2 linked regions of the Drosophila melanogaster genome follow. The main gene of each other region encodes a partner of the protein of the gene in region 2 in a complex. Each region holds a gene or a part of one and is shown on either strand. Other genes may lie near its edges. The genes, in order: Cfp1 and Wdr82.

Evidence for each region.
Region 1: Wdr82 (region 2) and Cfp1 share a complex: the UniProt entries of both Drosophila melanogaster proteins name them as parts of the SET1 complex.

Annotation. Positions count from the first base shown.
Region 1 is NC_004354.4:9,262,978-9,280,153, forward strand, and holds Cfp1 (CXXC finger protein 1), read right to left. Parts: upstream 9,984-17,176; 5' UTR 9,913-9,983; coding exon 9,689-9,912; intron 9,627-9,688; coding exon 8,939-9,626; intron 8,878-8,938; coding exon 7,798-8,877; 3' UTR 7,457-7,797; downstream 1-7,456. Other genes in the region: Erk7 (extracellularly regulated kinase 7), read right to left, coding at 1-35, 734-1,185, 1,255-1,351, 1,425-1,565, 1,646-1,852, 1,916-2,106, 2,205-2,291; CG17440 (uncharacterized protein), read right to left, coding at 5,529-5,927, 5,994-6,537, 6,600-6,733, 6,794-6,817; aladin, read left to right, coding at 10,537-10,934, 10,995-11,279, 11,337-11,713, 11,950-12,290; c11.1, read right to left, coding at 13,148-13,290, 13,352-13,454, 13,517-14,407, 14,472-14,675, 14,738-15,212, 15,275-15,920, 15,979-17,176. UniProt on the Drosophila melanogaster protein: Component of the SET1 complex that specifically di- and trimethylates 'Lys-4' of histone H3. Essential for Set1 association with chromatin and trimethylation of histone H3 at 'Lys-4' at transcription puffs.
Region 2 is NT_033779.5:8,364,722-8,380,477, reverse strand, and holds Wdr82 (WD repeat domain 82), read right to left. Parts: upstream 6,018-15,756; 5' UTR 5,952-6,017; coding exon 4,998-5,951; 3' UTR 4,929-4,997; downstream 1-4,928. Other genes in the region: AlaRS (Alanyl-tRNA synthetase), read left to right, coding at 1-30, 154-2,059; CG17294 (uncharacterized protein), read right to left, coding at 2,467-2,631, 2,685-2,901, 2,957-3,253, 3,306-3,394; CG13390 (uncharacterized protein), read left to right, coding at 3,705-3,848, 3,915-4,916; CG17292 (uncharacterized protein), read right to left, coding at 6,350-6,494, 6,564-6,938, 7,190-7,597, 7,725-7,791, 7,853-7,880; Pp2A-29B (protein phosphatase 2A at 29B), read right to left, coding at 10,758-10,762, 11,079-11,255, 11,448-11,720, 11,782-12,547, 12,607-12,681, 12,748-13,166, 13,229-13,382, 14,084-14,167; CSN8 (COP9 signalosome subunit 8), read right to left, coding at 14,839-15,089, 15,150-15,325, 15,374-15,438, 15,499-15,555. UniProt on the Drosophila melanogaster protein: Component of the SET1 complex that specifically di- and trimethylates 'Lys-4' of histone H3.

The sequences.
Region 1 (17,176 bases), on a different chromosome or scaffold from region 2:
CCGGGCTCGTGGTCGGTTGCTTGGCACTTGTTGTCCTGCGGGAGGGAATTGGATGAGTTGAACACTGGTGATTCGCCAAAATATGTGTGGTTGGGCTGGGTTAAGTGGGGCTGCTCTCATGTTACTAATATTACACTTAACTAAAGACACACTTAGAATATTGAATATTCACATCCTCATACCACACAGACAGGAATATGTTGTTAACCTAATAACAATAATATTAATATTATATGTTTCTTAAGACATATTTACTGCTAGTTTATTGTATTTTCAATTTAAACTATTGTGATAAAATAAAATTTGTGGTTTGAAATGATGAAAACTGACTGAGATGCACATAAATGTGGTTCACAAAGAAAGAGGTCCTTGGACATGAAGAATTTTTAGAGGATGATAACTATTAAGCTTAGTATTCTATTGACTATGGCCCTTTTTGAGGCGCATGCGATGTGCCTTTCGGTGCATGGAACGATGCAGTCGCTCCTTCACTGGGCGCTGAACTGTTATGGATTCCACGGATTCCTTCCGCTCCTTGAATGTCTCCTGCTGTAGGTGATTGGATGTGCTGGTGACTTTGGTGATGGCTCGATGCAATCTGAAAGAGGGGACGAGCAGCTAGAATAGCTCCTCCACTAGCCATCGCCCCACAAACGACTAAACCAGCCCTCTACCGCTTCCCCCCAACAACCGTCCCAGCCCAAGCCCCCAAAGATCCCCGAGAGCAGCTCACCTGGCTTGCTTCGTGACTCGCACGGGTTTTGGCAACTCGTCCCGATTGCTGGATGGCGTGGAATTGCTGACCGTGCGGTTACTGCAACTCGTCTCCCGGTCAATCAGTTCATACAGACTGTTGCGATACTGGTCCACGTCGTAGCGCACATGATCTTTCAGCGGCGGCACGACGTCCATGTGAAGATCCATCTCCGCCGACGCGTACTGGAAGCGACTCACATAAGGATGCCTTATGGCCTCCTTGGCTGTCAGCCGGTTATGCGGATTCAGCACCAGCAGGGCCTTCACCAGCGAAATACCGTCGTCGCAGCAGTTCTTCATCATTTCGTCCAGCGAATAGCGGCGATCGCGTTGGATATTCCTGCTCAGCAGGACGCTGCCGAAGCTGGGTCCAATCGAAGCGATGTCCAGCTTTGTCACATTCGGCAGGGAAGTCACAATCTTCTCAATCTGAAGCAAATATATATGTATGTAAATTTAAACCTATAACTATGAAATGGTATATAGATACTCTGCTACCTGATTGACAGTGCTAGTGCCTTGGAATAGGGGCTTCTGCCTGATCATCTCGCCCAGGATGCAGCCCAGGCCCCACATATCGATTCCCTTGGTGTAGCTGGTAAAAGGTAAAAGGCAAAGGGATATGCTAGTGTCTCAGTAAGTTCATGCAAGCTAAACAAAGCACCCACTTGCGACTGGCCACCAGAATTTCGGGGGCGCGATACCAACGCGTGGCAACATAATCAGTCAGCATGCCGTCCTGTTCCAAATCATCATAGATGCGTCTCGAGGAGAGGGTTCTGGCCAGCCCAAAATCAGCCACTTTGAGCCTGCAAATAGGGCAATGTCCATAGATGGAAATGGAGTCCACTGATGTTACTGAATTACTGAATTGTCAGTGGAATATTACCTGCATTTGCTGTCGATCAGGATGTTGCTGGGTTTCAGGTCCCTATGGATGACGTTGCCCGAGTGAATAAACTTAATCGCATTGATCAGCTGATACATAACGAATCGCTTGTGAACGTCCTTGAGGACATTGCCCCGCTTGATCACATTGTGCAGATCGCTCTCCATGAACTCGAACACCAAATAAAAGTCCAAGTTGTTGGAGGCCCTGAAGAGAATGCACATTATATACACGCATTTTAGAAAACAAAAAAATATCGAAAGAACTTACTTAAAGATATCCACCAGCCGAACGATGTTGGGATGGCAGCGAAAGGCCCGCAGGAATATAACTTCACGGTAGGTGCGCTGGGCATCGGTTTCGTCGCGGAAGGCATCAAAGACCTTCTTCAGGGCCACCGTGTTCTTTGTACGCCTGTCAGTGGCCTTCCAGACGATGCCATAGGCACCCTTACCCATGCGCTGCGAAAGACAAAGAAGTTATTAATCGTTTCGACCTATGATCACTTGACTTCAATTTAGTATAATTTTCCGTTCTCCGAACGAACTTTTTGACTTACCTTTCGCACATCGAAAATGCTTTCCACAGTTTGGTCCAGCTCTTGAATGCGTCGCTCTTGAGCGTGGGCAGTTTGATAGTTGGCCATCGTAGCTTGCTCCTTTTCACCTGTGCCCTTTGCTTATCCTTATCCCTATCCCTATTCCTATCCCTATCCGTGCCCCTTAACCTTGTGACCTCTTTTGCTTATTGGGATGCTGGGACTTATCCGGCAGTTGGTTTCTAGTTGGCCCGGTTGCGACTCTGGCAGAGCCCCGAGAACTCCAGCCCCACGTGGCAGCTTCGCTATGGACGATCAGAGTGGAGTGCGAAATTTATCAGTTAGCTGGCATTCACTGTGGCGCTGTTGCTGTTGCGCGTGGATGTGGCAGTGGCAGTGGCGCCCGAGTGGTTTTGCGGCTCCAACTGGAGCATCAGGGGCCCTCGTCCTCGCGTGCTTGCTCCCATATGCAAACGGCATCAAGTATGTCAAATAAAATGAAACGCCAACAAAAAGCAGTGCAAAAGTGCACAGTGAAAGAATAAAATCGAAATGTATGAGATAAAGTTAATGAATTAAATTCACACAGCATAGTACATTTTAATTATTCAAGAGATCCAGTCTTTAAGATATTCAAAATATTTGAAACATTTCTGTATTACTTTTTGATTAAAGCTCATCATTAGCCAAAGTATATACATATGTATGTCTGTATATACTCCTATACTAACAAAGATATTTCGATCATTGGATTGGAATAAAAGGGATAATGGCTTTTTCTCTCTCTGCATGCAAGTGCACCGGAAACGGAACAACGGCCATAACGGGAGCACAAATAAAAAGCGGGAAAAAATAGCAAGCGAATAAATAAATCGCGAGGCGGACCTGATTGAAACCGAATTATTGTTAGATCGATCGCGGGCAGAAGGCGAAAGCGAAAACGAGACCCCCAATTGGATGGCCTGGCAATGCCTACAGTGGACCCTCAAGTGCCCACGGCAACGTCATGTAACAATGCTCGGCTGCACAGTGAGCACTCGCTGCAGAGAACAATGCGTAAAGCTCTTGGATGCTTCAACTCTCATTTATAACGCGATTTATAAGTGTTCTTTAAGATGGGGTACTAAATATGTATGTATGTATATACGTAATATTCTTCAATAGGTACAGATTATTAACTATAAAGTAGTTATTACTATTATTAAAAACCTTAACACTAAATCTTCCCGAACATCTACTCTTTGGGATGCCTACTGTAATACTTTTATTGCGCCTACTTCAGCTATTGTTGCTGCAAGAAACGCCGCAAAACAATCAAATGGAAATACGTGGCATGCAATCTCGCTGAACGAAAATCAGCAACAAAGCATGGCAAATGAATTTGTTTAACAAATAAATAGGCACAAGTACACTCATATGGCAAAGGCCAGCACAGTTCAACAAAAATCGAGTTCGAAATTGAAATTCGCAAGAATCTGATCTCGAATTAAGCCGTTATTCCAAGGAATTCCAGTTTTGTGCTGGAAAGTAGGGAATGGACTCCGTTTGAAATGCAACCCTGGCGCATAAGTGGGCGCAAGCGCACATAATTTGATCTAGTAAATTTATAATATATTAATAAATCAAATAGACAGTGAAAGGTGTAAGGTTAAAATCTACTTTATGTCTGCCAGTGTAGCAGTGTAGCATCAAAAGCAACAGCCAAATCGGAGCGATTGAATTTGGCACAAAAGTTTTCAAGTGGAGCACGTCACTTACCAGTAAAAGGAGGCAGGATTCGCAGGATATGTAGAATGGTGGCTAACTAGGAGACGAAGAGGCCCGGCAACTTGACGGATGGTTATGTGAGTATGTGTGCCTTGAAAGTAAACTGGCAATTTGCACAATAAAAATAGAAAAAAAAGAACGATATAGTAACGAACGCAACGCGAATCAAAAGATGCAACCGGAACTGTAGGATGTTTCATATTAATTATATAGATATATATATATGTATATATATCGTTTGGATACACCAACCTGTAGGTACAGTCCAGGACCTTGAACAAGAAAAAAAATCTTTACTTGATACCGTTCCGGTGTTGTGCTCCACCGAACACAATATCTATATTACTTCGTCCGTTGAGGGCTTCCCACTGCCAACTCATGAAGTACTTCTTGAATTTTTTCGGCCCTTGTGGATTAAATCTAGCCGATTTAGCTTAGGATCAGCGGCCTCGACTTGACAATTTGTATGTTTCACTCGCAGACCACGCGCGTTTCAATTTGCACAGTTTTGGAAATGGAATTACAAGCATATATTAGATCAACGAATGTAGATGCGTATCGGAGGAGGACGAGTCCATATGGCGGCGGATGTTGGCCTGGTATCTCCCGGCACTCCGGCGTTCACGCTTCCGTTACGATTTTACAAAATAAAAGATTCGGAATCGAATAGAAAAAACGAGTGTACGTTCCTGGCTTGGAATCAGAAGGTCGTGTGTGATGTAGAAAAGTTCCGGACAACAACTGGCATTGTCGACAGTTCGTCTGGGGCAACAGTCACAAATCGCCTCGACTACTTGATTGCCCGGGTAGCCGGATTCGTTCAGACTCGCTTGAAATTTCGACTTCACTTGTGTGACCTGTGTGTCCTGACATCCCTTTTGGTGTCTTGCACCCAACTACAGCATGCCCACTCTACTCCATAGTTTTCCATCGTTTTCAAAGTCCTGCCGTTTCCAATGGTTGCCCCCCGCTCTTCATTTACCCGGAACCATTGTTTTGGATATTTACACCCGGACTCGGTGGCCTATTCCTATATGATCTTCAAAATATGTTGAGCGTAGAGTATTCCTTTTTTCATGACTTTGTTTAATGCATTAATATTAACCTATCTGAATGTATTACTTTATCTTTACCTTTAGTTAAAAAAAAAGCCAACAATGAAACCTAACAATGAACAGAAAACAAATCGTATATAGAAATTATAAATAACTTGAATCAAGCTAATAACCTAATAAAACTAAGGTGTGTGCTGATGTAATCCATGTGAATGATATCCACGGTAGAGCTAACCCAATGTATCCAACCCCTTTACGTGCAGGTTGCTATCAATAAATGCATATTTGATGCTTAGTTTTCAATAACAAACATGGGCGTACCGCCGATCCCGGCGCGTAGCAACCTACTTCTGGCCGGGAAGCGGACACAACAGCTGGCGAGCGTGTTATGCGGTTGCCAGGAGAAAGGCGCCACTAGAAACTTTGCGTCGGGTAAGTCCAAAGATTACTGGATTGTCGTAGAAAAATATTTCTTGGACATCAGTTTATTGTTATTTCTTGCTATGATTAGGGGATTACAAATCTATGGATTTTCCGGTTTATGCTGTTGTTGCTGCAACAGCTGTCGCTGCTGCTGCAACAGCTGCATTTGCAGTTGCAGTTGCTGAACATGATGTGGCTTCAAGTGCAGTTGCTGCAGCAACTGTTGTTGCTCCTGCTCCTGCTGTTGTTGCAACTCCTGCTGTTGTTGTAACTCCTGCTGTTGTTGCTGCTGCTGCGGTTGTTGCTGCAACATTAGCTTTTGCTTCTCTTGGTACTGTTTCTGCTGAGTCTGTATCTGTTGCCTCTGCTTCTCGAACTCCTCCAGTTGCTCCTGCTGTTTGAGCACCAGCTCGTCCATGTTGAGCTCTAGATGCTTGCGTGTTTCCTCGGCGGCGCGGCTAGGCGTAATATTCCACTCTTGCATTTGTTGCGGCAGAATCTGAGAGTGTAAAGGACTTTGGTGTTTAATTGGAGTCTTATAGTCTGGCCAAAAAATGAAACTAACCTGAAATAGGCGTTCGATGGCTAGATTAGAGCCACACTCATCGCTGCAGTACTTGCTCTGCGGCCTCGCATGGGAGCAGCAATTGGGTCCGTGGCACTGCTGGATGCCCTGTAGCTCCGGATTGAGGAATATCTCCGGACTGACCGCCCGCGGGCTCACCTGGACATTGGAAGTCTTGGGTGCCGCCTTATCCCGCTTCGTACCTGCTTGAGTCGGCTGCGACTCCTTTGGTTCTTGGGCGCTGCTGTTTTTGCGCTTCGCTGCCGCAGTGGTCGGTGGCGGCGCTTGCTGGCTGGTTGTTGCGGGCGCCACCGGTGCAGCAGCAGGCGCAGCTCCCGATGGACCTACGCCCGGGGCATTGAGACTTGTAGAGGCGGCGTTCGATGCGGCTGCACGTTCGGTGGCCACCAGGCGGAATATAGTCTGCAGTTCGGGATTCTCTTTTTTGCAGCGCCGGCAGTAGTAATTTTTGATGTGCTCAGCGTCCTTCTCGGTGATCTCTATACAGTCGCCGTGGTACCACTCCTCGCAACCATCGCAGCCTCTGGAAAGCGTAGTTGACAAGTGGTTAGGCGGGATCTAGCCCTTTAAGGCCATTCAACTCACATCATGAACCTGGAGCAGTCGGAGGAGCGGCATATGCAGTACTCACGGTCTTTCTGCTTAAGAATGGTGGCTATCTTGGACTTGCGCTCAGGCAAATCAAATTCCCGTGCGATCTCCCGCCTGATTTCTTCTTCCTGTTTGGAAATCTCCTTTGTAGCTAAAAATATGATTGCTGTGCAGCGTGTGAAACTCACGGTCTTCTTATCATTGTCCGTCATCTCGCACCAATCTTTCTGACAACTAAAGTCCAATTCCAAATCCGTCAATTAAGTTTCAGGGAATTTTTCTTTTTGCGATGGAGATTGTAAATGAACTGTATTCCTGGCTTTGAATCAGCAGGTCGTGTGTGATGTAGAAAAGTTCCGGACAACGACTGGCATTTTTGACAGTTCGTCTGGGGGAACAGTCACAAATCGCCACGACTACTTGATTGCCCGGGTAGCCGGATTCGTTCAGACTCGCTTGAAATTTCCACTGCACTTGTGCGTCCTGACATTCCTTTTGGCTCCCAACTACAGCATGCCCACTCTAATCCATAGCCTCCATCGTTTTCAAGGTCCTGCCGTTTCCAATGGTTGCCCCCCGCTCTTCATTTACCCGGAACCATTGTTTCGGATATCAAAACCCGGACTCGGTGGCCTATGTCTATATGATCTTCAAAATATGTTGAGCGTAGAGTATTCTTTTTTTCATGACTTTGTTTAATGCAGTAATATTAACCTGCATTATTAAAAAAAGCCTACAGCTTAAGAAAATGTATTTAATATGCTAACTTATTTTCTAGATTATTTCTAAATACAAACTAACAATGAACAGAAAACAAATCGTATATAGAAATTATAAATAACTTGAATCCAGCTAATAAACTAATATTAAGGTGTGTGCTAATGTAATCCATGTGAATGATATCCACGGTTGAGCTGGCCTAATGTATTAATAGCATGTTGCTATCAATAAATGCATATTTGATGCTTAGTTTTCAATAACAAACATGGGCGTACCGCCGATCCCGGCGCGTAGCAACCTACTACTGGCCGGGAAGCGGACCCAACAGCTGGCGAGCGTGTTATGCGGTTGCCAGGAGAAAGGCGACACTAGAAACTTTGCGTCGGGTAAGTCCAAAGATTACTGTCGTAGAAAAATATTTCTTGGACGTCAGTTTATTGTTAGTTCTTGCTATGATTAGGGGACTACAAATCTATGTTTTTTTCTGCAGGTATATAATTTGAGTTTTCTGTGGTATTTGGGCCTTCTTTTGCTGCTGCTGCAACAGTTGAAGTTGAAGTTGCTGCAGATGATGTGGCTTCAATTGCAGTTGCTGTTGCTCCTGCTGTTGTTGCTGCTGCTGTTGTTGCTGCTGCTGTGGTTGTTGCAGCTGCTGCTGTTGTTGCTGCTGTTGTTGTTGCTGCTGCTGTTGTTGCTGTTGCTGTTGTTGCTGCAACATTAGCTTCTGCTTTTCCTGGTACTGTTTCTGCTGTGTTTGTATTTGTTGCTGGTGAGCCAGGCGTCGCCTCTGCTTCTCGAACTCTACCAGATGCTCCTGCTGTTTGCGCACCAGCTCGTCCATCACCTCGTGGTTGTAGGTGGAGTGCAGCATCAGGCCGAGCAGGTTCGCTCGCGAGGTGAGCTGCTGCCGCATCACGCGCTCCTGCTCCATCAGGTCGTCCATCTTGAGCCATTGACGCACACGCTCCAGATCTATCTCAGCACGCCGGATCTTCTCCCAGGCGTAGTGCTTGAAGCAATTCTTCTTTGGCGCACGACAAAACTCGCCCGTGGGATTGAAGACGTTGTTCACTAAGGGCGAACCACACACATCCGTATCGTTCACCTTCGGATCCTTGCTGTGCTCCGGACACAATACTCTCAATCGCTTACAGTAAGTCTTACTTGCCGGATTGTAGAAATCACAAAACATATTGTTTCCCTCCATTCGCGTTTTGAATATGCTCCCGAAGCTGGCCTGCGATTCGTATTTGTTGAAGCACTTCTCCATATGCTTGATGGCAGTGCGCGAGTGAATCTCGTGGCCACAGGTGATGCAGTACATGCTCTGTTCGTCCTCCATGTCGGCGGTGTCTTGTGACCCCAATGTATCAATGGAGCTTCGTTTGGCTCGCTCCACCACCATGTTGAGCTCTTCGGAGCGCTTCTCTAGCTCGGCAAGTGCGAAACGCACCAGGGACTGCTTATGACGAATGTTATCAAGATGCTTGCGTGTTTCCTCGGCGGCGCGGCTGGGCGTTAGATTCCACTCTTGCAGTCGTTGCGGCAGAACCTGAGAGTGTAAAGGACTTTGGTGTTTAATTGTCATAGTCTGGCCAAAAAATGAAACTAACCTGGAAGATGCGTTTTGTGGCCAGATTGAAGCCACACTTATCGCTGCAGTACTTGCTCTGCGGTCTCGCATGGGAGCAGCAATTGGGTCCGTAGCACTGCCGGATGCCTTGTAGCTCCGGATTGAGGAATATCTCCGGACTGGCCGCCCGCGGGCCCACTTGGACATTGCGACTCTTGGGTGCCGCCTTTTCCCGCTTCCTACTTGGGCCGGCTTGAGTTGCCTGCGACTCCTTTAAGACCGTCGCCGCCTGGACAACGCAGGTGCGGAATATGCAGCGCGGCTTGTGGCCCACGCGAACGCGGCACGCGTCGCACTGGTTGCAATTGGGACGCCGGCATCCCTCACAGGTACCACAACGTTTGCCCATCTTTGGTTCTCGGGCGCTGCTGTTTTTGCGCTTCGCTGCCGCAGTGGTCGGTGGCGGCGCTTGCTGGCTGGTTGTTGCGGACGCCACCGGTGCAGCAGCAGGCGCAGCTCCCGATGGACCTACGCCCGGGGCATTGAGACTTGTAGAGGCGGCGTTCGATGCGGCTGCCCGTTCGGTGGCCACCAGGCGGAATATGGTTTGTAGTTCGGGATTCTCCTTTTTGCAGCGCCGGCAGTAGTACTGTTTGATGTGTTTAGCCTCCTTCTCGGTGATCCCTATACAGTCGCCGTGGTACCACTCCTCGCAACCATCGCAGCCTCTGGAAAGCGAAGGGTACAAGTAGTTAGCCGGGATCTAGCCCTTTAAGGCCATTCAACTCACATCATGAACCTGGAGCAGTCGGAGGAGCGGCATATGCAGTACGCTTGGTCTTCCTGCTTTAGAATGGTGGCTATCTTGGACTTGCGCTCAGGCAAATCAAATTCCCGTGCGATCTCCCGCCTGATTTCCTCTTTCTGTTTGGAAACCTCCTTTGTAGTTAAAAATATGATTGCCGTGCAGCGGGTGAAACTTACGGTCTTCTTATATTTGCGCTTGTCCGTCATCTCGCAGCAATCTTTCCGACAACAAATCCAGTCCAAATCCAAATCCGTCAATTAAGTTTCATGGAATTTTTTTTTGCGATGGAGATGGTGAATGAAAGGATATCGATAGCCTACTAATAATGTATTGCAGACAATCGATAGGTTCTGGCCTAATAAAATATATAATATTTAGCATAAAACTACGTTGTAGATTTTAATTGATGTATGACTATACAATAAAAACAATTTTAGGTATTTATTGTAAGCTGTGTATAAATATAAAATGCTTCGTAACACTTATATCGAGAGAACTAATTCCATAGTCTTAATAACAAACGATAGTGTGTTCGAGATCTATGAGATTAAATAGAGTTCTTGAAAGAGAAACAACGTGAATATAAAACCTACAAAAGATTGTTACTTTATATATACCTAATTTTTATTTTTCGATAATCTTTAAGATTTTGCCGCGGCCCAGTATTTTCGAAGTTTCGTAAAATTAAACATCGATAGAAAAATTAAGCATCGAATTACCACTGACATTGTCGGCTTTTTCTCACCTCTAATAACCGCGCGGTTTTTTCTTTGTATTTCGTTACCATTTTTTCTCAACTGAACTGAATTGAATGTGAATAGTCTGCAATTATGGCGGCCCTGAGCAACCTAAAACAGTGTCCGCCGTTCTCCACGCTGCCGGATCTGGCGCTGCGGCACAATCACATCCCAGAGCTGGAACGCTATCCGCAGATAAACCTGAACAGCGAACTTCTGGCCAATCCGGCTGGTCAGCGGTACTACGGCGGACAGAGCTTCGTATCTGTGAATGAGGGTGTCCTAAAGCGCATAGCTCGCAGCTTCTTTAATGGCGGATTCTGGAAGACGCTGGAGGAGGCACGCAGCCCAGAGACCAGGGAGCAGGCGCCGCTTATTGCCCAGGCGGGTGATTTAATCGCACAATTTCTGGGCCTGGCCACCGGCCTGAGGATCCTCCCGCACACCCAGCAGCTTAGTGCAGAGCGTATTGCTCAGTTCGTGGAGACCAGGTGGGTGGGGCGCAGCCAACTGACCAATAATACCTAAACCTTACTGTCCCATTCATTCAGGGATTGGCTCAACAGCGATGTGCGCTATCTTGCCTGGAATCAGCACTTCTTTTGCTTAGCCGTAGCCGGTGTAGACGATGTGGTGCGCATCTACACAAAGAGTTCCAGTGCGACCACTGCCACTGTTTTAAAGAGTCCATCCCAAACGCAGATCACCTGCATGGCGTGGCGTCCACTCTGCGCTTCCGAGATCGTGATAGGTTGTCGGCAGGGTCTGTGTTTCTGGGAAGTGGACAGCACTTTGCATTTGGGACGCACAAATGCACCCAGCGAGATTTTTAAATAGTCAGTATAGAAAATTTATCGTTAGTTGGTAAATACATAACTTATTTTCCCTTTTAGCCCAAACAATCTGCCAATAACCTCGATGCAGTGGAACAAGGATGGCACCCAGTTGGCCACCGCCTCAATAGGAGATCGTTCCATTATTATCTGGCAGCCGGACACCGGAATGATGCAGCCACTCAAGCGTTTGGGTCCGCCGGGCTCGCTGCTGAAGTGGTCGCCGGATAATGACTGGCTGTTCGCAGCCACCGTGGATCGGGTGTTCCGCGTGTGGAACTGCCACCAGCAATGGACCACCGAGCGATGGGTGTGCGGTCCCGGAGGCTATGTCCAAACAGCCTGTTGGTCGCCCTGCGGTCGCTTCCTGCTCTTCGTCAGCAGTGCCGAACCGATTCTCTACCGCCTGCAGTTCGTGCAACAGAGTCTGCTATCCTGTAAGTACGAAAGCTTTGAGTACGTATTCAGGGCAGTCTGCTCCCAGTGTCTGAACTGAAACGGTGGTCAGATACAAGGGTGCGATTTGGGGCTGCCCCAGATCAAAGCAGTCAGTAACAGGTTGGCGGCTGTTGCAGCTTACAGACCGCCTGTATAATGCTGACTACAAAAACAAAAACCGGTACCAATGTACTAGTTGATATTTAACATATTCCGTTTTTGTATCTCCTTGCAGCTTCGGCGGATGAGAAGGAAATCCTGCCCATTGCAGATCTAAATGCTTGTAGCATTGATGCGAATCGCACGCTTGTCGGTGGTCCCGCCCAGCAGCTTGCTTGGGATCCGCATGGCAATTATCTGGTAGTCACATTCAAGGCGACCAACTGCATCGCCGTCTTCCGCACCTTCATACAGAAGTTCGATCTGCAGATTTCGGCGGCTTACTATCTGAGCGGCGAGACGGCGGCGGAGCACCCGAGCTTCATCTGCTTCCAGCCACTCTACGAGGATAACGATCGCTCCGTGCTGACGATCGCCTGGTCGTCGGGCCGCATCCAGTACTACGCCTTCGACTGATCTTAAAGCTTAGTGATTTTCATAGTAATACATTTTTTGATTTGGTTTTTGTAAGCGTTAATACACAGTTAAACAGGTTAACCTTAATTTGGAATCCAACAATGGTAGGGGATTGAGATAAATTCAAAGGTGTGAGTCTGTGGCACTTGAAAGTATATCTGTAATGTGGCAGGTAATTGACTTTTACAAGCAAACAGTACCATTGCCACACCCCCACATTTATCTCTTTTTTACAGATTTGATTGAAATGGACAAAGCGTTTTACACCTTTAAGGTAATTGAATCAATTCGAGAACAATTCCTAATTTATTATTTTTGCTTAAAATTGGTCCAGCAATTGTTTTGCAATTTATATAAAGAATCAAATAAAATATCTGATTACGCTTATAAGGATTTATTAATATTTTTAATAAAATACCACTTCCTTAATGGAATACAATCAATTTTTGACAACGTATTTTTGCTGTGGAATCATAGTAGTTATTTTTTTCTTTAATTTTTATGAACCTCAAAAAGCCAAGGTAATTTTGAATAGACTCAGTATAATATGAAGTAATTATTGTCCGTAACAAAGTCTTCGGTCGAATACGAGTTCCTATAACTTCCAACTGTCTTAAAGCTGCAAAACGCTCCGCATTAACATGGAAATATAAATATATAAATAATGCTATGTGTATACAGATAGTATATAACGTGACTTTCGATTACATAACAAAACAAAGAGTTAAATATCAAACATAATAAGGGAACGATTGCTGAGGCAAAGGGATCACACTTGGAGCAATACTAAGTCATAATTTACAAACACACACAACATAACTGCACATCTAATTAATCGAGTTGGTCCCTTGGATGCTCTAGATGTCCCCAAAGAAGTAACCCAGAGCAGTGGCTGCCCTCATCCGCACCAGCGCCTGTTCGTCCTTGAGCAGCACGGCAATCTTGCTGGCCACAGTCTCCGTTTGGACGTTTCTCTCGCTGAGGAAGTTGTGCAGAATGCCTAGGCAAGGAGAACGATTGAAATTATTTCAAGGATTCTTGTGGACCACCGGAACACTTACCAATTACAATGGCTGCACTACCTCGCACCTCGGGCCACTGACTACGCAACTGCGGCAGGCACGAATCGATGAAGTCCTGGATGTGATCCGTCAGCTCCAGTGCCTGAAAGAATAAATGAATGTTAGAAATATTGTTATGTCCCGTTTGGAACATTATAAACTCACAATTGTCTTGACAAATTCCAGCACAAAGCTGCTGTAGTTGAGCTGGTGACCTCGTTCCTCGCCCAACTGCTGCTCCGCCATCTCCACGACCCTTGGAGCTGTCAGGAGACGACAAACCCGCTGAAGTGTTCCACGACAGGCCGAGGCAATAGCCACTTCGCTCTCGCTGAGATGCAGTAGCAGCGGGAAGAGATTGGCGATGAGCTGCTCTCTCAGTGCCTCCATCGAGGATGTGGGTGAACTGCTGCCGTCATCGTGCTTGCCCTCGCATATATCGCCAAACAGTTGGATAGCCGCCTCTCGCATCTCTAGTGCATAGTTGCCGAGAAACGGTCGAATCCGGATGGCGAGGGAGACGTGGAAGGGCTCTACCCGCTCGCTGGGCAATGCTCGCAGTATTCCAGACAGGCCGCGCATGCTCTCCAGCGGAATGTTGATTAGGCAATCGCCCACCGGATCGTCGACTCCCTTCAACAGAGCACCGATGGCAGTTTCCGAGTAGCGCTTCGCCTCCTTTTCTCCCAACTGGCCCACGTAACCCATGCCCTGGATGCTGAGACCTCGCACTACCGCATTGGGATCGGATAGTGCGGCTCCGAGGTGGAGCAGTATGGACGCAGCTAGCTCACCGGTGGGTTTCAGTGGCACCAATCGTGAGAAAATACCCACGGCGGCCACTCTTTGACCATCGTATGGTGAAGCCACATATTTGCTCAGCGAGTTGACCAGTTGCCTCATCTGCGGACTTCCCAGCTGCAGCTGTTGACCTAGACCGATGGCCATCGGTGTCAGCAATTCGATGTAGTTGTGCCAGTCCGCGCTGCTCGCCAGTTGCGTATTCACAGTCAGCACGCTGGCAATCTGCTCCATTTCTAGATTGGTCAGGAAGGCCTAAAAATTAAGGCAATAGGCTATTATAGAGAATTATAGAGTATTTAATGGTGTTGGAACCTACCTGGAAAGTTTCCAGTGCTATTTGGCAGGGATTGAGCTTGATCAGCTCCTTGTTGGGCACGAAACCGAATTTGGTTTTGCCCGATTGCGTCTGGTTGGGACTTAGAGAGGCATTGTTTATAGGATTCGGTGCAGCTAAGTTGGTGTAGCTGCTTAGCGAAGTGAGCAGCATGCAGAACATGTCCGCAAACCTTGTTTCCAGTTGCTAAAAAGACAAAGCCATTAGTTTAAGTGTGAAAATTCAACGGAACCCTTTCAAGCACTCACCCCCTTGATATCCTTGCACGGCAGCATCTCATGCAGAGCGCAGAAAATGGCAAACGGCTGGCCGCTGGCTAATTTCTGACGTTCGGAAAGAGATGCATCCTGACCGCCTTCCTGGAGGGAGGCACCACTTAGCAGCTGCAGAAAGTTGTCCAGCGTGAGGCCCGTCAACTCCGGGTCGTTGCACACCAGGTGCCAGTACTCCACCAGATTGGGGTCGTACGGCAGCGGCTGCGACAGCATTTCGGCACACACCAACTTGGGATGGTGCTTGGTGAGGGCCACCAAAGCTTTTAGCACTCCGGACTTCGCCCTGGGCACCTCGCACACGCGCAAGGCCAGCAAACTGTCGCGAACCAGGTCGGGAATGGCGTGGAACAGCTCAGAGCCTTTCTGCTGGATAAAGAACTTGAGCACAACACTGGCGCCAATGGTGGAACTCTGCTCAGGATCACGCAGCGAATGAAGTAGAGTTTTGCTGTAAAGAAATTTAAACCGTACTAATCTAACCGATTTAATGTAGACCGTACTAATCCTTACCAGAACTGCAGGTACTGAAAGCTGGAGATACGCAGTGCAATAATCTTGGCAATGTCGCCGGCCAGATTGTAGATTTGCTTGGGCTCGTCGGTGATTATGTGCTCCTTGATGGTCTCGATCTCCTTCAGCCAGTCGGCAGTGCTGTCGATGCTGGCTATCGTCAGGGTTTCGTAGATACACGCGATCTCCAGCGTCTTCTGCAGGATCTCCACGGACACCTGCCGCACCGTGCCATTCGAATCGATGCACCTGGGCACAATCTTGCCCAGCATTTGACCAGTCTGATTGAACTTCGACGGGGCCTCGCAGCCAATTTTCATGGACTTGATGTAGACATCGAGGGTGTTGTTAAACACATGGCTGGCACAGATTCGCACCTCAGAGTTGCGATCCCTTGTCCAGCCCTCTAGAATGCCAATAATCAGATCCAGTGTGGCCGGCGAGGCGTCCAGTTCAACGATGGCCCTCACAAGCGCATTCAACTGCGGCAGCGATTCGTTGAGGTGCTTGGCCAGGAAGCTGTTGCGCTCATCCTCCTCCTGAGAGTCGAACTTCATCTTGAGCTGCTGGGCACAGCCGAAGAAGTTGCGGCACGCGATCTCGAAGATCACCCCGCCGTCCACACACTCCTCGGTATCGGGTCCACCTACAAATAGTGAAAGGATTAGGATAAGATTTACATTTAGTTAATAGAAATTCCTTACCTATGCGTATGAAGTCCGTGCCCAGTTTGAGAATGGTGGGCAGAAGGGGAAGGTCGTGGAACGGCGCCTCGATGGGGATGTTGAAGACCGTCTCCATGATCTGCTTGCGATGACGCAGAGGAGCCGGCAGCTGCTCCTTGGTGGCTATCAACTGGTTGCAGATGCTGAGCAGCGTCTGCAGGATCGCCGACATAATTGTTTGGTCCTTGTGCACGGCCAGCTGTTGGATGAGGAAGCCCAGCAATGTGTCATCTTCGTCCAGGTGTTGAATGGATTGCAACGGATCGGCTTCGTCCATGATGCGACCAAAAGCCTTGACCACGAGCAGGTTGCTCTTGTAGTTCTCTAGCTCCTTGTGCGTATCCTTGATAAAGTGCAGATTGCTAAAGAAACCGGTGGAGTGCTTTCGCCCACCGACTTGGGCCAGTTCGGTTAGCTTTTTGATCAGATGCCCCAAGTGTTGGCGGGAAATGTAGCCCAAGGCTCTGGCACAGGGTTCAATGCGCTTTTCGTAGTCCGCATGCTTAACGTGCTTGTCCAATCTTTCCTGCCTGGCAGTCGTCACAATGAGATCGATCTTGGTGTGGATGCAGGCCACATCGGTCACCTGAAGCAGGGTGAGGGCCACCGCCTGCAGGAGCATGCCTCGCTCGGCGCTAAGGTCAGGCAAATGCCACTCGGAGTGGGGCAGTTGCATGGGATACAAGTACATCTGGTCCGCCAGCTTACTGGCCAGCCGCTGGGCAAAGTTCTCATCCAATCCGCCCAGAAATTCATTCGTTTCAAGCACAAAATCGTGGAGTAGCTGGCGATAGGCACTCTCCCTGTTGATTTGCAGCAGAAGATCGGGAATTTTTCGCTCCCACAGCTCCTCCAGGGCGGGATTCACCTGAGGATGGTAGTAGCGCAGAAAACTGAGAATATTCGAGCATCGTTTAATGCACTGCTGATTGCCCAGGAGTGCCAGACATCTTGCGTAAATCGTCTCGGCTCCAGGGACCATAACCTTTCCGCGCTTGATCACACTGCGATCCTCGCCAGCAGCGCCCATACTCTCCGGTGTGGCTTGCTCCGTGGCGGCATCGTCTCCCGCAATATCGTACTCTATGTGCGGAGATTTGGCAAACAAACTAGCCAGGCACTTGGCGAGATTCCCGCAAATATCCGTGTAGTCCAGTAGGATCAAGTAGTTCAGCAG
Region 2 (15,756 bases):
GCTGCGACGCATCCTTCGTCGCGCTGTGCGGTAAGATAACTTAATACTACGTCTTATATACATTATATTACATTAGTCATTAGTCATTATTCTTGATCAATTAAAAAATTACACTCTCTAAGCAATAATAATCTTGACATTATCTTCCCACAGTTATGCCACTGAGAAGTTGAATGCCAAGCCCGGTTTCTTCGCCACCCTGGTGAACACAGTGGTTGATCTGCTTGGTGATGCCTTCCCGGAGGTGAAAAAAGATCCCCAACACATCATTGATATTATCAACGAGGAAGAGTTGCAGTTCCTTAAGACGTTAACGCGCGGGCGCAACTTGCTGAACCGCACAATCGAAAAGTTGGGTAACCAGACTACCATTCCCGGAGATGTTGCTTGGCGGCTGTACGACACCTACGGCTTCCCAGTCGATCTAACCCAGCTTATGGCAGAGGAGAAATCCTTGAAAATCGATATGGATGGCTATGAGGCAGCCAAGCATAATTCATATGTGCTTTCGCAGGGCAAAGGTGCTAGCAAAATCGAGGAGATCAATCTGGATGTGCACGCCATTTCGCAGCTGCAGGAGCAAGGTGTGCCACCAACCAACGACACCTTCAAGTACAAGTACGAGGCTGTGTCTGACGAACGTGACTCCGCCTACAACTACGGTGTGTGCAATAGTAAAATTGTTGCCCTGCGCTTCGAAAACCAGTTTGTGAACGAGATCACCAGCGGACAGAAGGCGGGCATCGTTCTGGACAAAACAAATTTCTATGCAGAGAGCGGTGGTCAAATCTACGACCAAGGTGCACTGGTTAAAGTCAATGACGAGGCGAACGAGTTCCTTGTGGACCGTGTCTACAACCGCGGAGGCTACATTCTTCACATTGGCGTTGTAGAGGGCACCCTTAAGGTGGGTGATGAGTTGGAACTGCACATCGACGTGGAGCGTCGCTGGTTGACCATGAAAAACCACTCGGCCACCCATGCCCTCAACCATTGCTTGCTGCAAGTATTGGGTAAGGACACCGAACAGAAAGGCTCTCTGGTAGTGCCAGAGAAGCTACGCTTTGACTTCAACAGCAAGGCGGCAATGACCATCGAGCAGGTGTCCAAGACGGAGCAGCTGACTAAGGAGATGGTGTACAAGAATGTGCCGATCTACGCAAAGGAGTCGAAATTGGCCCTGGCCAAGAAGATCCGAGGCCTGCGATCGGTCTTCGACGAAGTGTACCCGGATCCCGTTAGGGTAATCTCCTTCGGAGTGCCCGTAGATGAACTGGAGCAGAATCCCGATTCTGAAGCCGGCGAACAAACCTCCGTCGAGTTTTGCGGCGGCACCCATTTGAGGCGCTCGGGTCACATAATGGACTTTGTTATCAGCAGCGAAGAGGCCATTGCCAAGGGTATCCGAAGAATTGTGGCTCTTACAGGACCCGAAGCTCTGAAGGCACTGAAGAAATCTGAAGCATTTGAACAAGAAATCGTCCGGCTTAAGGCCACCATTGATAACGATAAGTCCGGTAAGGACTCCAAGTCGCATGTGAAGGAGATTGTTGAGCTGACTGAACAGATCTCGCATGCTACGATTCCCTACGTGAAAAAGGACGAGATGCGCAATCTGCTGAAGGGCTTGAAGAAAACATTGGACGATAAGGAACGTGCCCTGCGTGCCGCTGTCTCGGTCACTGTTGTGGAGCGCGCCAAGACTCTGTGCGAAGCCAATCCCAATGCCACCGTGCTGGTCGAGCAGTTGGAAGCCTTTAACAACACCAAGGCGCTGGATGCCGCACTGAAGCAAGTGCGCAGCCAGCTGCCCGACGCTGCCGCCATGTTTCTGTCAGTGGATGCGGACTCCAAGAAGATCTTCTGTCTCAGCTCGGTGCCGAAAAGTGCCGTGGAAAAGGGTCTGAAGGCCAACGAGTGGGTGCAGCATGTTTCCGCCACGCTGGGAGGCAAGGGAGGTGGCAAACCGGAATCCGCCCAGGCATCGGGCACAAATTACGAAAAGGTGGACGAAATTGTCCAATTGGCCAGCAAATTCGCTCAGTCGAAACTGTCTTAAGAGCATAAAGGATTCGAAAGCGGCAAGACCTTCAATTACTCACAATTTTGATACACAACTATGCTTAATCTTAATCCGTTGATCTGTTTTAAACAGCATTTCAGATGAATTTTTACGGCTATTTATAAAATAAAAGCATTTATACACTAAATTAATTACATAATTGTGTTTGGCTGTATTCGTACATCGTTGAAAAATGATTCGGGCTAGTTCACACTTTAAAAACGGGTCCTTTATTATGTTCCACATGAAAAGTTTATAATCAGAACTGAACTTATTTTGAGCATTTAATTATATCTAAGCCTTACCTATATCAGTAAAGTCTTTTTAAGTAACTATTTTAAATAAAAAATTCGTCAGTATCTATGTTTTAAACACGATAAACATTTGCAGAAGCCCAATAAAGCCTAAGATTGGTTTTTCTGTATAATCCAATCGACAGCCTCTGCAAAGTTTTCCAACAACGCTGTTGGAGGTGGGGATGGTTTGACATCCGGCAGATATTTGCCGGTCTTGACCAGAATTCCCTGCATGCCCATGCTCATGGCGCCCACTATGTCATCATTGGCATCCTGCGAATCAAGAATTCGTTAAGTTTTCAAAATGTATTCCTTACTTTACATACATCTCCAATCATAACGCATGAGGCTGGATCCCGACCAGCCAGAGCTCCTTCGAAGAAATAAGGATTGGGCTTGCCAATCACTTTGGCAGTTCGTCCTGTAGCGAACTCCAAACCCTTGACAAAGCACCCTGGGCCCAAGGCTAGGCCTTCTGCTCGTTTGTAGTACTTACCCTGATGCACGGCGATCAGTTTGTGATTCTTGTTTTCCAATAGAACGCTATTGCAGAGATAATCGTTAATTGAGATAAGAATATCCTTGCTCGGATGCTCACTTAAAAGCCTCATTCAGCTGTTCATAGTTAAAGGCCTTGGGTGCCAGACCGATTACAACTGAATCCTTATAGCGCCTAGTGTCCTCCGGCGGAAAGTCCTGTCGTGCATCCTCAGACAGAATATAGTACGGATTTAGTCTCTCATTTTCCACATACGAGACTGCGGCACTCAAGGAGCTGTAGATCTCAGAGGCGTCAAGTTGGAAGCCAATCCTGCATAGCCGTTCGTGAAGAGTGGCCTTTGAATCCTTCGTGGTGTTTGTAACGAATTTCACCAGTACGCCAGAGTCACGCAATCTACACGGCAACTTTGAAAATAATTACGAATACCTTGGTTTAAACTAAGCACCTTTTTAACGCCTCGACAGCATTCGGAGTAGGTTCATCCTCCACATGCAAGGTGCCACTGAGATCAATGAGTGCTCCTTTAATAGACATCTTTCTCAACTGTTGAAAGCTTCTCGTTCCTCTGGATAACAAAAACATAATTTCCAGCTGGTTCGATAGCTTTCGATAGTCGTCGCGATATGTTTATGTATCAGCAGGTGATTTTCCACAGGTGTAGACGGGGATTCGAATACTTTTTTAAAAGTAAAAAATTCTAGCCGCCCTAAAAATACATCTTAATATATTTATATAATACATTTCTCGAACCTTTAGATCATTTAATTTAATTTCACTTGATTAAGATATATCAATCCCTATTACATATTTTTCTGACTATGCCCATGGTCACAAGACTTCAGCAATGTTATTCTCTACCGGCAAATCGTTTCTTGCGCGATTTTCATTGAATATATCCAGAAATGCAAAACCAATTGGTCTCATAGCCAACTACTGTCAGGTGGCATCAGCGCTGCGTCCGAAGAAGGCGAAGTCCACCCGGAAAGAGGTAGAATCATAAGATTGCAATGGAATTTACATAACTAATGCCACACTTTTGTGTCCACATTTCCAGGCGCAGTACTTCTCCGATGCCAAGAGGATACGTGCCATCGGCGGAAAGGGTGGCGACGGTTGCGTGTCCTTCCTGCAGCTATGGTGCAATGAAAGGGCCGGTCCAGATGGCGGAGACGGTGGCCACGGCGGGCATGTGGTGTTCCAGGCCTCTAACGATGTGCGCAACTTTAACCACGTGGGGAGTGTTCTGAAAGCTGAAGAAGGAGAGCCGGGCAGCTCCAAGGATTGTCATGGCAAGAACGCCAAGCATTCTGTGATCAAGGTTCCAATCGGGACGGTGATCAGGAATGCGCAAGGTCAAATTGTCGGGGATCTGGGACAAGCGGATCTTATGTTTGTGGCCGCTCGAGGAGGAGCCGGTGGCAAGGGCAACCGTTTCTTTACCACGGACAAGGAAACAAGTCCCAAGGTCAGCGAATACGGTCCTAGGGGTGAAGATCTATCATACACTCTGGAACTGCGCAGCATGGCGGATGTGGGTTTGATTGGTTACCCCAATGCTGGCAAAAGCACCCTACTGAATGCACTGACACGGGCCAAGCCAAAGGTTGCTCCCTACGCCTTCACCACGCTGCGTCCGCACTTGGGAACCGTCCAGTACGATGATCATGTCCAGCTCACCATTGCCGATCTTCCCGGACTCGTGCCCGATGCTCATCGCAATAAGGGCTTGGGCATACAGTTCCTAAAGCACGCCGAGCGTTGCACCTTGTTGCTGTTCGTGTTAGATGCCAGTGCACCGGAGCCATGGACGCACTATGAGCAGCTAATGCACGAACTCCGCCAGTTTGGCGGACGTCTGGCGAGTCGCCCGCAATTGGTGGTGGCCAATAAGCTGGACGTGGAAGAGGGCCAAAACAACTTTGAGGAACTGCAACGTCGCCTGCAAAATCCCGTGCTCGGCATTAGTGCCAAAATGGGTCATAATCTTGGACAACTCCTGAACAGCATACGTAGAGGATACGACCGCCACAAGGACCAGCCCCAGGAATCCAGTTAGAGGCCTCTGTTTATGTTATGTTGATTTATTATTTATAAATTAAATTGTAATCTTATAAGCTAAGCAAGCGGGAATCATTGCCTACAAGCCCTCCTCGGATGTGGGCAGCCAAAAAGCCATGTTGGTGCACGCGGACGCCAGCATCATGTATTTTGGATTGAACTGAACGCATTGCACCGGTCCCGGATGGTCACCATTCAGTACGGACACCTTATTGCCAGTGTCGGCATTCCAGATGTGCACTCGTCCATCGGTGCTGCCTGAAAAGATGAACTGCGAGTCTGGGCTGAAGCTTGCCTCGATGGGAATGCCCTTGTTGTTTGGATAGCCCGTGAACGTTTGTAGCGGAGTGCCGTGGAAGGCATCTACGAGCCGGATGACCGATCCATTCGTGCTGATCAGAATTGTTTTGCCGTCACGGGAGAACTTAAGGCCAGTCCAGTCGCATTCCTTCTCCTGATTAAGTTTAAATGTGACGAAGGGGCCTTTGTCGAAAGAGCGAAGGTCGTACAATTTAATGCTTTCCGAGTTAACGCCAGCGGCGAAGATCAAGCCCTCGGGATCGTAGGCAGCAATGGGTCGTCCAGAGAGATGCATCAGTCCCTGGCAGTTGGGCGAGCGCAAGTCCCACAGGCGCAGCGTCTTGTCCAGCGAGCCGGAGAGAAAGGTGTCCTCCACCGGCGAAATGCACAGCGAGATAACCTTCTTGGTGTGGCCGGGGAAGTAGCGCAGATATTTGTTGTCGTGCAGGCTGAGATAGCGTATGGTGTCGTCCACCTTGGTGGAGCTATGGATGGCCGTGTTGTTGGCGTGCGTAAAGTGGATTAAATCCACTCCATACTTCTTCGAGTTCACCGTGCGCGACTGCGTCCCCTTTTCGCAGTCGTAGATCACGATCTGGTCATCCTCGCTGCAGGATATTAGATGTTCGCCGTTGGGCGCAAAATCGATGGCGTTGATCTTGTCCGTGTTCTCTCGGAAGATCTTGGCCACCTTAAAACTGCGCACCACCGAATCTATTAGTTTTATCTTCATTTTAGCCTGTCGAATTTCGTTTTGTTGTCAATATGCTCAATTGTTGCAAACAATGTTATCGGTGGCAGAGGTTGACGGGTCGATAGCTGTGTTATCGATATCGCAACTTTCGAACTGGTTCCGGAATGAATTGCAAGAGCGGAACCAGCAACCAGATTTAAATTATTTGAAAGTTCAAAAAATCCATTCAAAAAAAGTAATTAATAAAACTCATTTAAAACCCCAAATAGTGCAATAATAATGTATAAATACCCCAAAGTAATGCAAAGTTTTTTTCAACAACAAAATTTAAGTATATTTTTCTCGTAAATCAAAATGTGGTGTAAGGCGTCATAGAAACAACAATATTAATATAGCTACATTTCATAATGTACACAGTGCAATTGTAGATGGTCTTATTAATTCGTTTTCTCCGACGGGCAGTCACAGGTGATGCTGTGGGTATTTCCCAGCAGATCCTTGGGGTCAACGTAGACAGTGCCCTCCTTGCCTCGAGCAAAAGGTGTATGTCCGTTGGTTTGTAAGTAAAAGTCGCCATGAATTCTGAAAATCACAATTTCAAATGATGAAACTAAATTCTGCGCTATGCATATAAGGCAAGTAGAAACTTACGTCGTGGGACAATGATGACCCATCACCACGGGCGGGCAATTCTCTACTATTTTGTTCTGCTTGAAGTCCGACCATTTCTTGGCGGGCACAGCATCGAATCCAATGGGATATCGATCCGAAACGCTCTCGGCCCAGAACCACCAGCTCCTCCGATGACTGGACAGATCGTTGTCGCTGAGCATCTTGTAGTTTCGCTTGGGACAGCCAGGCTGCAGGCTGTATCCACCATTTGGCCAGAAATCCGCCGTGCCCGTGCTCGTCGGAGCTCCGTACAGCCAGGCGTCCGTGTGTATCACGTCGACGAACTCCGCATCATTGGCAGACAGGTGCGTGCCCGGATAGAAGAGCGGAAATGCGGGATCCAAAGCGGAAATTCTATAAAAGAAGATTGGAGATAAGTGAGACAAGAAAAGGATTCAATATAAACTTTATAAACTTTGCCGAACAACGATTCTAAAAAAAAACTTTTTGTATTACCATATGGTAATACAAAAGTGTTAAGCTTTGGACATTAAAATTATTAACTAAATATCGTATATTAAACATCGTATATCATGACGTCGGCATAGACTAAAATCGAACCGAGCATGAATAAATAATTTGAAATCAAACCTCTTTCATTTTACCTTTTTATCTTTCTGACACCCTTGGTGCGTTTAGTAATCTCTCGGCCGAGGAGTCCGGCCAGCTGGCCGCCCATCGAGTGTCCGACAATGTGGAACTTCTCAATGTCCAGGCCATGGTCGAACATTTTGAGCAGGACCTTGGCCAACTCTGGGCCCAGCTGTTTGAGGTTCGGGAAGGCATCGAACATGTAATTGCCATCGGCCAGTTCACCCCAGTCTAGGACGATAAGATTGGTATCCTTTCGCTCCAGATAGGCCTCGGCTATGACGTGAATGCTCTCCACATCCGGATCTTCCAAGTAGCCGTGCAAATAGAGCACGGTGTTCTTGCCCAAATCCAAGTGCTCGTCCTCCAGAAGACTCTGGAAATCGGTTAGGTCATAGATATCGCTATCTGCCACCGTGGGTCTGTGAATAAAAGATAATGCTATAGGTGAATACTTGAATATATTTAAGAAATTTGGATATTAGTGCAATAACATGGCTTTATGTATAATTTTTCTTCATATTTACTAATAATAATATTAGTTCTTACCCATAATATAGTATAAACTTGGCTGTCGTTAGATCCGCCTTGGAGTTCTTGAGTCCGCAGAGGAGCCCTGGTTTAATAATTATCCAAATTGTATTAGCGGAATTTTCCATTTTCGCACACTTACTTACTGGATTTGTTTTTAATGGCCTTGTGCATGTTTCTGTGGGCTGTCGGCTATTAGTCCATAAAGTGATTGATTACGTGGCCAGTGGATTGTCCGGATATCCTCTGGTCCCATGCGGTGATTGGCAAAGACTGGGCCGGGCACTCGGTTGGCCGGATTAATGTGGCGTGGCCTAAACCCCCATTGAAATTGATAACTCTAATTAAATTTCAATCTTTTTCGGATAAGATAGTAATGGTGAGTTCGGCCAAAAAAAGCCTTGCGACATCGTAAGCATCGTGATTCACACGAGTGTGCCGCCCCAACGGCGGCAAAGTCCGTGTGGGAGTCCAAGCCTTTGCCTGTCCATGCATCATTCATGTGCTCCTACGGTGGAACATCCGATTTCGGAACATTCCAAATCTCCGCATTATTATTCATCCACTTCTATCGGCTGAACAAGTTTAATCGAACGCTAATCCCATTATGCACTTGAGGACTAATTCAATGGTGATTGAATGAATGCCATAAAAATAAAAGCTTTGTCGCCAGCCAGTCTACTTATTTCCAAATCACCACGATCAATTAAAATTGCAACATAATGAGTTTCCTCAACAGGAGTGAGCTGAATAATTACAAAGTTTTCCCGTTGAAAGTTACAAACTTAAAGATCGCCGTAACTATTATTGATCCATTAATATGATGGGTTTAATTATATATAGACTAATACAGCATGTTTATTTAAGTACAGTTTTACTAGCTATTTAAGTGCATTTTATTATCACTAAAATTAACTTTTAAAAAGTAATAGTCTTTTTATGGGCGGACCCTGTAACTTTGACCTTAGTAATATGGCTATCATAAAAAAAGTGAAATGTTTGACAGTTCAACCAGCTACAGGGCCCACTGTCTATTGCCAGAGATTACCTTAACCCGAGGTCTAAGTGAACAAACTACAGTGCTTAAATATGCAGACTTGAAATTACAGCAATGCCATTCAAACACACTTGTAAGCTACAGTCCAACGTCCCTAAGTGGGAACAAAAGTTAAAGTTTAGCTTGGAATATATTTGTTTTCGGACTGAATTAAATTAGAAAGTGGTGTTTCAGTTTAAGCATACATTGTTAAAGTACAAAGTACAATGCAGAACACAAGCAAATACAAATACTTTTTAAAATAAAATATATAAATACTTCAATGAGATTATGAAATCTCAAAACTTTCTTGTATAAACTAATAAATTAATATTGCAACTATTATTCTTGTCAACCTCCTAATCATAACATATCTAACTGAGGGAAGTTGGACTGTAGAAATGCTTATAAATGTGTACATAGATATATGTCGAAATGGAAGACCCCTGACCCTCGTTGCCTGCCCAACGCAATGGTAATTTAAGTACCGGCCTTCTTTTTTTGCCTCGATTTCGCCGTTGTATCGCGGACATAAATAAAGAGCACTTCAATTTATATTCCGGCTTATCGGGGGAAAATTAGCCGTCAGATAATGCTCAGTCGCACGATGGAGTATCACTGGTTTCGAGGGTAAGGAGGGAATCGAATCGGCGCCAAGTGTTTAGCGGAAGGTAAAAATAATAACGCTTAGCGAAACGCGCCACTTGGGGAAATCGGGCTAAATAATGAAGCACTAATTGTAATAACAGCTCAGCGTTTTTGACATATGCGAGTAATTAATGCATAGAGCCCATAGACTATAAATATTCGGACACTTGTTGCGTCCACGGGGGCAGGTGGATCGTAGGTCAGTGGACGGTAAACGGACGCGGAGATTGCGACAGCCGTGGGTAAACTGATAATGTTCCGCATTTGGCTGTGTTTGGTTGGGCACACACAAACACCTCGTTTTATTGTATACACACAATTGATTGGTTCCACCCATTTGCCCAATCAAATTTGCATCTGATCCCCCCATTGACTCCACCACATTCCACGCCGCATCCGATTCGATGGCGCTCGAGCGTCAGACGGAATAATTCAATGGCACTTACGCGTCCACACTCGGTTTCGGAATTCGATTCGAGAGTTAGGCAAACATTGGCCAACGCGCAGCGGAACGGCAAAACAAACAAGCGTATCGCTTCGTCGCAAAAGTCCAACTGATCTCTCGCTAGAAACTGCTCGCCACCACCACCACCACCACCACCATCATCCAATTAAAAAACCAAAAAGAAGCCCCAACTATCGCCAGGTGTCTGTTTGGCGCCTATCGATATCAGTCTAGCTTGCTATCAAAATCGTTTACTGCTGGAATGATTTTAGGATTTCAAAATAAATTAACAGTATTTTTAAAATGTAAAAATACAAGTATTTTGTTTGTATAATCTATGCTTTTCATAGCCATACCTCTCACAAATTATAAATAATCAATGCACCTGCCAAATAATCAGAATGTATATAAAGCTTAATTTGAACGAAACTATAAAAAGGAAAATATTACATTTCCAAACTTTGAACTGACAACTGAAACCTAGAAATTGGTATACAATTTTGGGAGTTAAATATTCAATTTTGCTCCACATTAAACTTTTCAATAGATCGTGTGATATTGTTTCACTACAATTTTATTTTTGCATTCAGATGCGATCAAATGTTCCAAACTCTACAAATGTTTTTAATAATGATCGTTATGCCTATGGTAATTTATATATAATATAAGTATGTAAGTAGTAATGTTTAGTTGTGTGTCGCGTTTAGTGGGTCTCCTCCCATGCTGATTCTCCGATTCTCTCCTTCCTCTGACTCCTGGCTCCATTCATCCCTCATCCAGCATCGGCTGCAGCGTTTAACACCTTCCGGGATCCACTACAATTTTCCGTTCTTAAGTGTTGTTGCTACATAATATGTTTTGTTGCCGGCGTTAAATACATACAGTTTTAAAAATAGAATAAAAAAAGATGCAAGAAGGTTGATTACGCTATAAACAAATATACAAAACACATTATTGCAGACGAACACAGAGTGGGGAATGGTGAGATAACCACGTGGTGATGGCGATGATACCGGGAAAGAGACAAAAAAATATGGCACAACATTAGTATCGGTTAAATATTTGATCCACTGCACTCGCACTTTAATCAGATCGGACATCTAGCCTGGTTATCTTGAACAAACAAACAATCAAATGTGAATACGATTATGACGGGGAGGATTAAACACATTGGCTTGTGGAACTGGCTGGAGACAGCGGGAGGCACATCACACGTCATGTGGTTGGCTACTCATCCTCTAACATTCCGAGTCAAGCGTGGGCGGCTCCGCTGCCTTGCCATTCATCTCCTGCAAAATGTCATTGTCAGCTGCCTCCGGCTGTCGGGGCGGTTCCACTATCAGCTTTGAGTCCATTGCCGCCTCAATTTTGGCGCCCATGCACGGCGGTATTGCCGTTCTAAACACATTCAGTTCCATTTCTATGGCAGGATTTTAATTAAAATTAAAGTCTTACTACTAACTGACAATTTATGAATTTGTGTAACTCTCAGATTCCCTGCATGCCTTAAAACTTGTGATAATGAATAATGTTATATATTGTTCTATAAGTTAGACCCTTTCTATCCCTGTCAAACGCTAACCTTGTTTATATTAGACTGTTTATTGCTTACCTGCAGCTATGCCGGCAATGGCCTGTGCAGCAAAATGCTTGACATCCACATCTGTGTCTGTGTTCAGTTTGTCGAGTGTGGGCTTTACTTGGGCATCAATGACGCTGGCCTCCAGGAAGGGCGAGATCTTCTGCAGGGTCTTTGCCACGTTGAAACGAACATTGGCAACGGGATCAGCGGCAAGCAGGAGAACTGTGGGCAGCAGCAACTTGGTGGTGATATCTGTGCCGCAGACCTCTGCCAAAACATTCAGGCAGAACAAGCAAGTCATTCCTAAAAATCATAAGAACCATAAGCATATATTGATCATTACAATTTCAATTCGATAACTTACTGTGCAAATAGTTCTTGTTGCGCGACATAACCAGAATCATTGGAATTATGGCCTGTTCGGCCCAGGGAGCTCCGAACTGCTCGACGAGCTTCTTCATGTTGAGGGTGGCTGCCTCACGAATGGCGTACACGTGATCGTTGAGCCATCCCATGCAGAGACCGCGCAGTTTTTGGTCAAAGAATTCCTGACCCAACTGACCGGCCAGAGCAGGCATGTACTCGATGATGGCTAGACGCACACGCCACTTGGAGTCCTCGGCCAGCTCGACGATGGCGGGCAGAAGCGACTGTGACAGTTGCTGGATACCGATGACGTCGTTAACGCAATCCAGGTTTGAGATGATGTTTAGGCGCACTTCTGGGCACTCATCCTTGAGTTGAATAAGGAACAGGGGGAGCAATTGCTCCACAGTCTGATAGGCGCCCAGCATGGGACTCAAGCCCATGATCACTGAGGCCAGAGCTGACTTCACATGAGGATTGGGGTCCGAGACAAGATCGCGGACATAGGGCAAAATGGAACTAAGGATGATTTGCACCTGGTTGACCTTGTCCAGATTGGCGCAGAAGTCCTTCACCTTGGTGGCCACTGCAGCGCGAACCTCGGCCTCGGCATCCTTGAGCAAGTACTGGAAGGCAGGCACCAAGTCCACCCTAGTAATCTCTGGGCCCACAGCCTTTTGCAGATCAACAAACTTCTCGGCCACCATGTAACGCACCCTCCAGGAAGAGTCGCTGGCGCACTGGCGCAGCGTGGGCAGAACCAGCTATGGAATATTTTTTGTAAGCCAACAGGTATTAACAATTTCAGCGCTGATCAACTTACGTGCTCTACATCATCCTGAGGCAGCAGCTGGGCAATGCTTACGCATGCCTCTACAGCCAGCAGACGGACAGAGTCCTGGAAATTAAGGATAAGGATTGATATTTTGGAGTGTTGTTAAATTGGTCTTAATCAGGTGCTTACCTGATCATCCTGTGCCAGCTGGACAAAGTTGGGAATCAAATCGGACTTCAGATACTCCGTCTCAACGACCTTGGCAAACTCGCCCAGCTTGTTGGCCGCTGCACGGCGCACCATGGGTGTCTCATCCTGGCAGAGCTTTCGGAAGTTGGCGCGCAGCTCGGCCTTCACTGGCTGTGTGACGCGTGGATAGCAGACCGAGAAGAGGCCGCAGGCAGAGGTGCGTGAGGTGAACCAGTCACCGGAAACCAATCGCTGCAGTGTCGGCACCACATGGATCTCCAAATCCTGGGCGCTGTGCTCAGCGGCCACGGTGCGTAGAGATTCCACAGCCTTGTCTCGCACCACGGTTTCCTCTACGGTGGCCAAACTCTCGAGGGGCGGAATCAAGTACATGGCAAACTCTGGCCCACCAACGAGACCTGGAAAGTAACGGCGGAACATGGTTGGAAATGTTTTCATTAGAAATTATATCTTTGCTCACTAGTAAAGTTGCCCAGTTGGTCGGCCAGGGCCAGCAGTACCTCGTCCTCATCGTATATGGTCTCGGTGAGGAAGGGAATCAACTCGGACCGTGTGCGCTCCTCGCCCAAAGCGAGTGCAATGGTGGACAGTTTCTTGATGGAGTTCAACCGAAGCTGTTTTGGTAAGGGAAAATATTAAAGATGATTATTTTAATAGGGTATTCAAATTTAGGATAAGTGGTAACTAATTCTACGATTTTGAGGTTATTATTGATAGGGCTATTGGTTTTTTTTTACAAAAGCGGTGGTCAACCTGTACCCTACATTTTATTTTCAAAAAAAAACGTAGCATATATATTTACTTAAGATATCTTTTTTAGATAAGATAAGTGATTAGATTATTCGATGTAACGAAAATATTTCATCTTACTATCTCATTTTAAAATCAGTTATGGTATTACTATTGATTGAAGTTGATCTATTTTTAACACGCGCAGTTGTAAATTGTTTTTGCAAATAGCAAATGCGTAAAAACTTATACTTATACATACATAAATGAAGGATAACAAAATCTACAAATAAAAAGCGGATAAAGACGTATACCCATAATTGCAATTAATTGATAATAGTAATTTTTTTCGCAAAACGCTAATCTTGTGTATATCGAAATTCGGTATAATTTCGATGCACACACTCGCACCAACACAAATGCCCATGCACACACGCACACACACACCGTGACGCATTTTTGCACAAATACAATCGCAGATAAAGCAGGGAGTGTGGGCACGCTACCCCAAAATTTAATCACTAGAATATTTCTGCACATTCTTCGCGAGATACAATTGGATTTCAGGTTTTAGGACATGACAAACCTGAACGTCCTCGTTTTTCAGTTCATCGATTAGAACCGCAATGGGATATAGTGAATCGTCGACCGATTTGTCGCTTGCTGCCATTTTTTCTGCTGTTTCTGCTGCTCACACACAAACACAAGCGCACTGAAAATCGGGTCTTCTATTCTGCAGGCAAACGACGAGATTTCTATTTGGCCCTCTGGCGATTCGCAGTTTACTTCTTCAAGGTTACAAAATAATTTCGCAAGGTACTATATTTCGTCGCTGCAAATTTTCTAAGAATCCATACAATTATCCGCTGATTGCTGTTCTTTTCGAACGAAAAACGTACGTCGTTGGTGCAAATTAATATTTTTTTTCTTCAAGTGACACAACGGTAGAGGTGGAACGCATATCGGTTATCATTCGATACTATCGGCGTTTCCGCGCGTCGATAGATTTTCTGAAATATATTTTATTTAACTGAATTCTGAAGAATATTAAAATCACACTTATTAAATTAGGCCAAGAATATGATTATATATCTACATAGATTACATGGAAAATTATAATTCTGTAGCCTTAGTTTCTAGTTCCTAATTTTTAGGTATACTTCCAAAAGCTAATTCGTACAAAACCCAATGGCGCCAATTCGGTGATTTAGCTAATATTTATAAATATGTCTAATAACGATATTAATCGAGTGTTTTTTAGATTGACACAGGCTGTGTGACCATAACTTTTCTTCAAATGTATACAAAAATCCAATTAAATGTATTGAAATTTATTGAGGCTTAATTCTCTAGGAAGGTTACAAACTCGGTCAACTTAAGCAACTGGTCATCGTTTCCACGAGCTGGCGGTGCTTCCTGAACCTTGGGCTTCAGGATTACCCGGTCACCGTCCAGTTCCTCAGTCCAATTTAAGGCCGCACAGGCGTGTTTCAGTTCGTCCTCCGACATTAGTGACAATTCCAGTAGATTGTGCTGGTAAATGGACATATATGCGCTGCCCATTAGTTTGAACAGCTCTTCGCGTTGCTTATCTAAGTAGATACATTATAAGTTTTTATATCCAATTAGTAAGCTTTTAGGCATAGCCATACTTAGAAGATCCTCCACAGGTGACTTTACTCTTTCCGACCACTCATACTTGATGTGTTTGAAGAAATCGGCATAGTTATTGTTCTGCAGGGCAATATTGAGCAGGTTCAGCTGGATCAGTTCCTTGTCATCCCTTAGGTTAGCTGGAACTCTCATCCACAACAACTTGGCATCAGCCCTGTAGCACAAGATTAAAATATGTATTTCTTTTATATCAATCACTTACAGTTTGTTTTGATAGAGGTAAATAGCAAGTAATTGCTGGTAGACTTCAGCTCCCAGTTCGACTTGCTGTAAAAGTATGGTTTTCTAGAATTCCATCTGTAGTGAATATATTAAACGATCACTCACCTCAAATTCCTCGTTCTCAAGCCGCTCCACTACTTCACTATATTTATTTAAATGCATTTTATTGGTAAATTCTTGGTCGGGAAACAATAATGTGACCGTTTAGCGTGCTGCAAGAAATGAAACCTTCCCAAAGCACTCCTGTGCTTGTGTAGAGTCTAGCTGACAATAGTATACATATATCGATAGCTAAATGAATTATTTTTACACAAATTAGCTTTCTATTTCCCTTTAATAAATCCTGTAATAGTCACTTAAAGT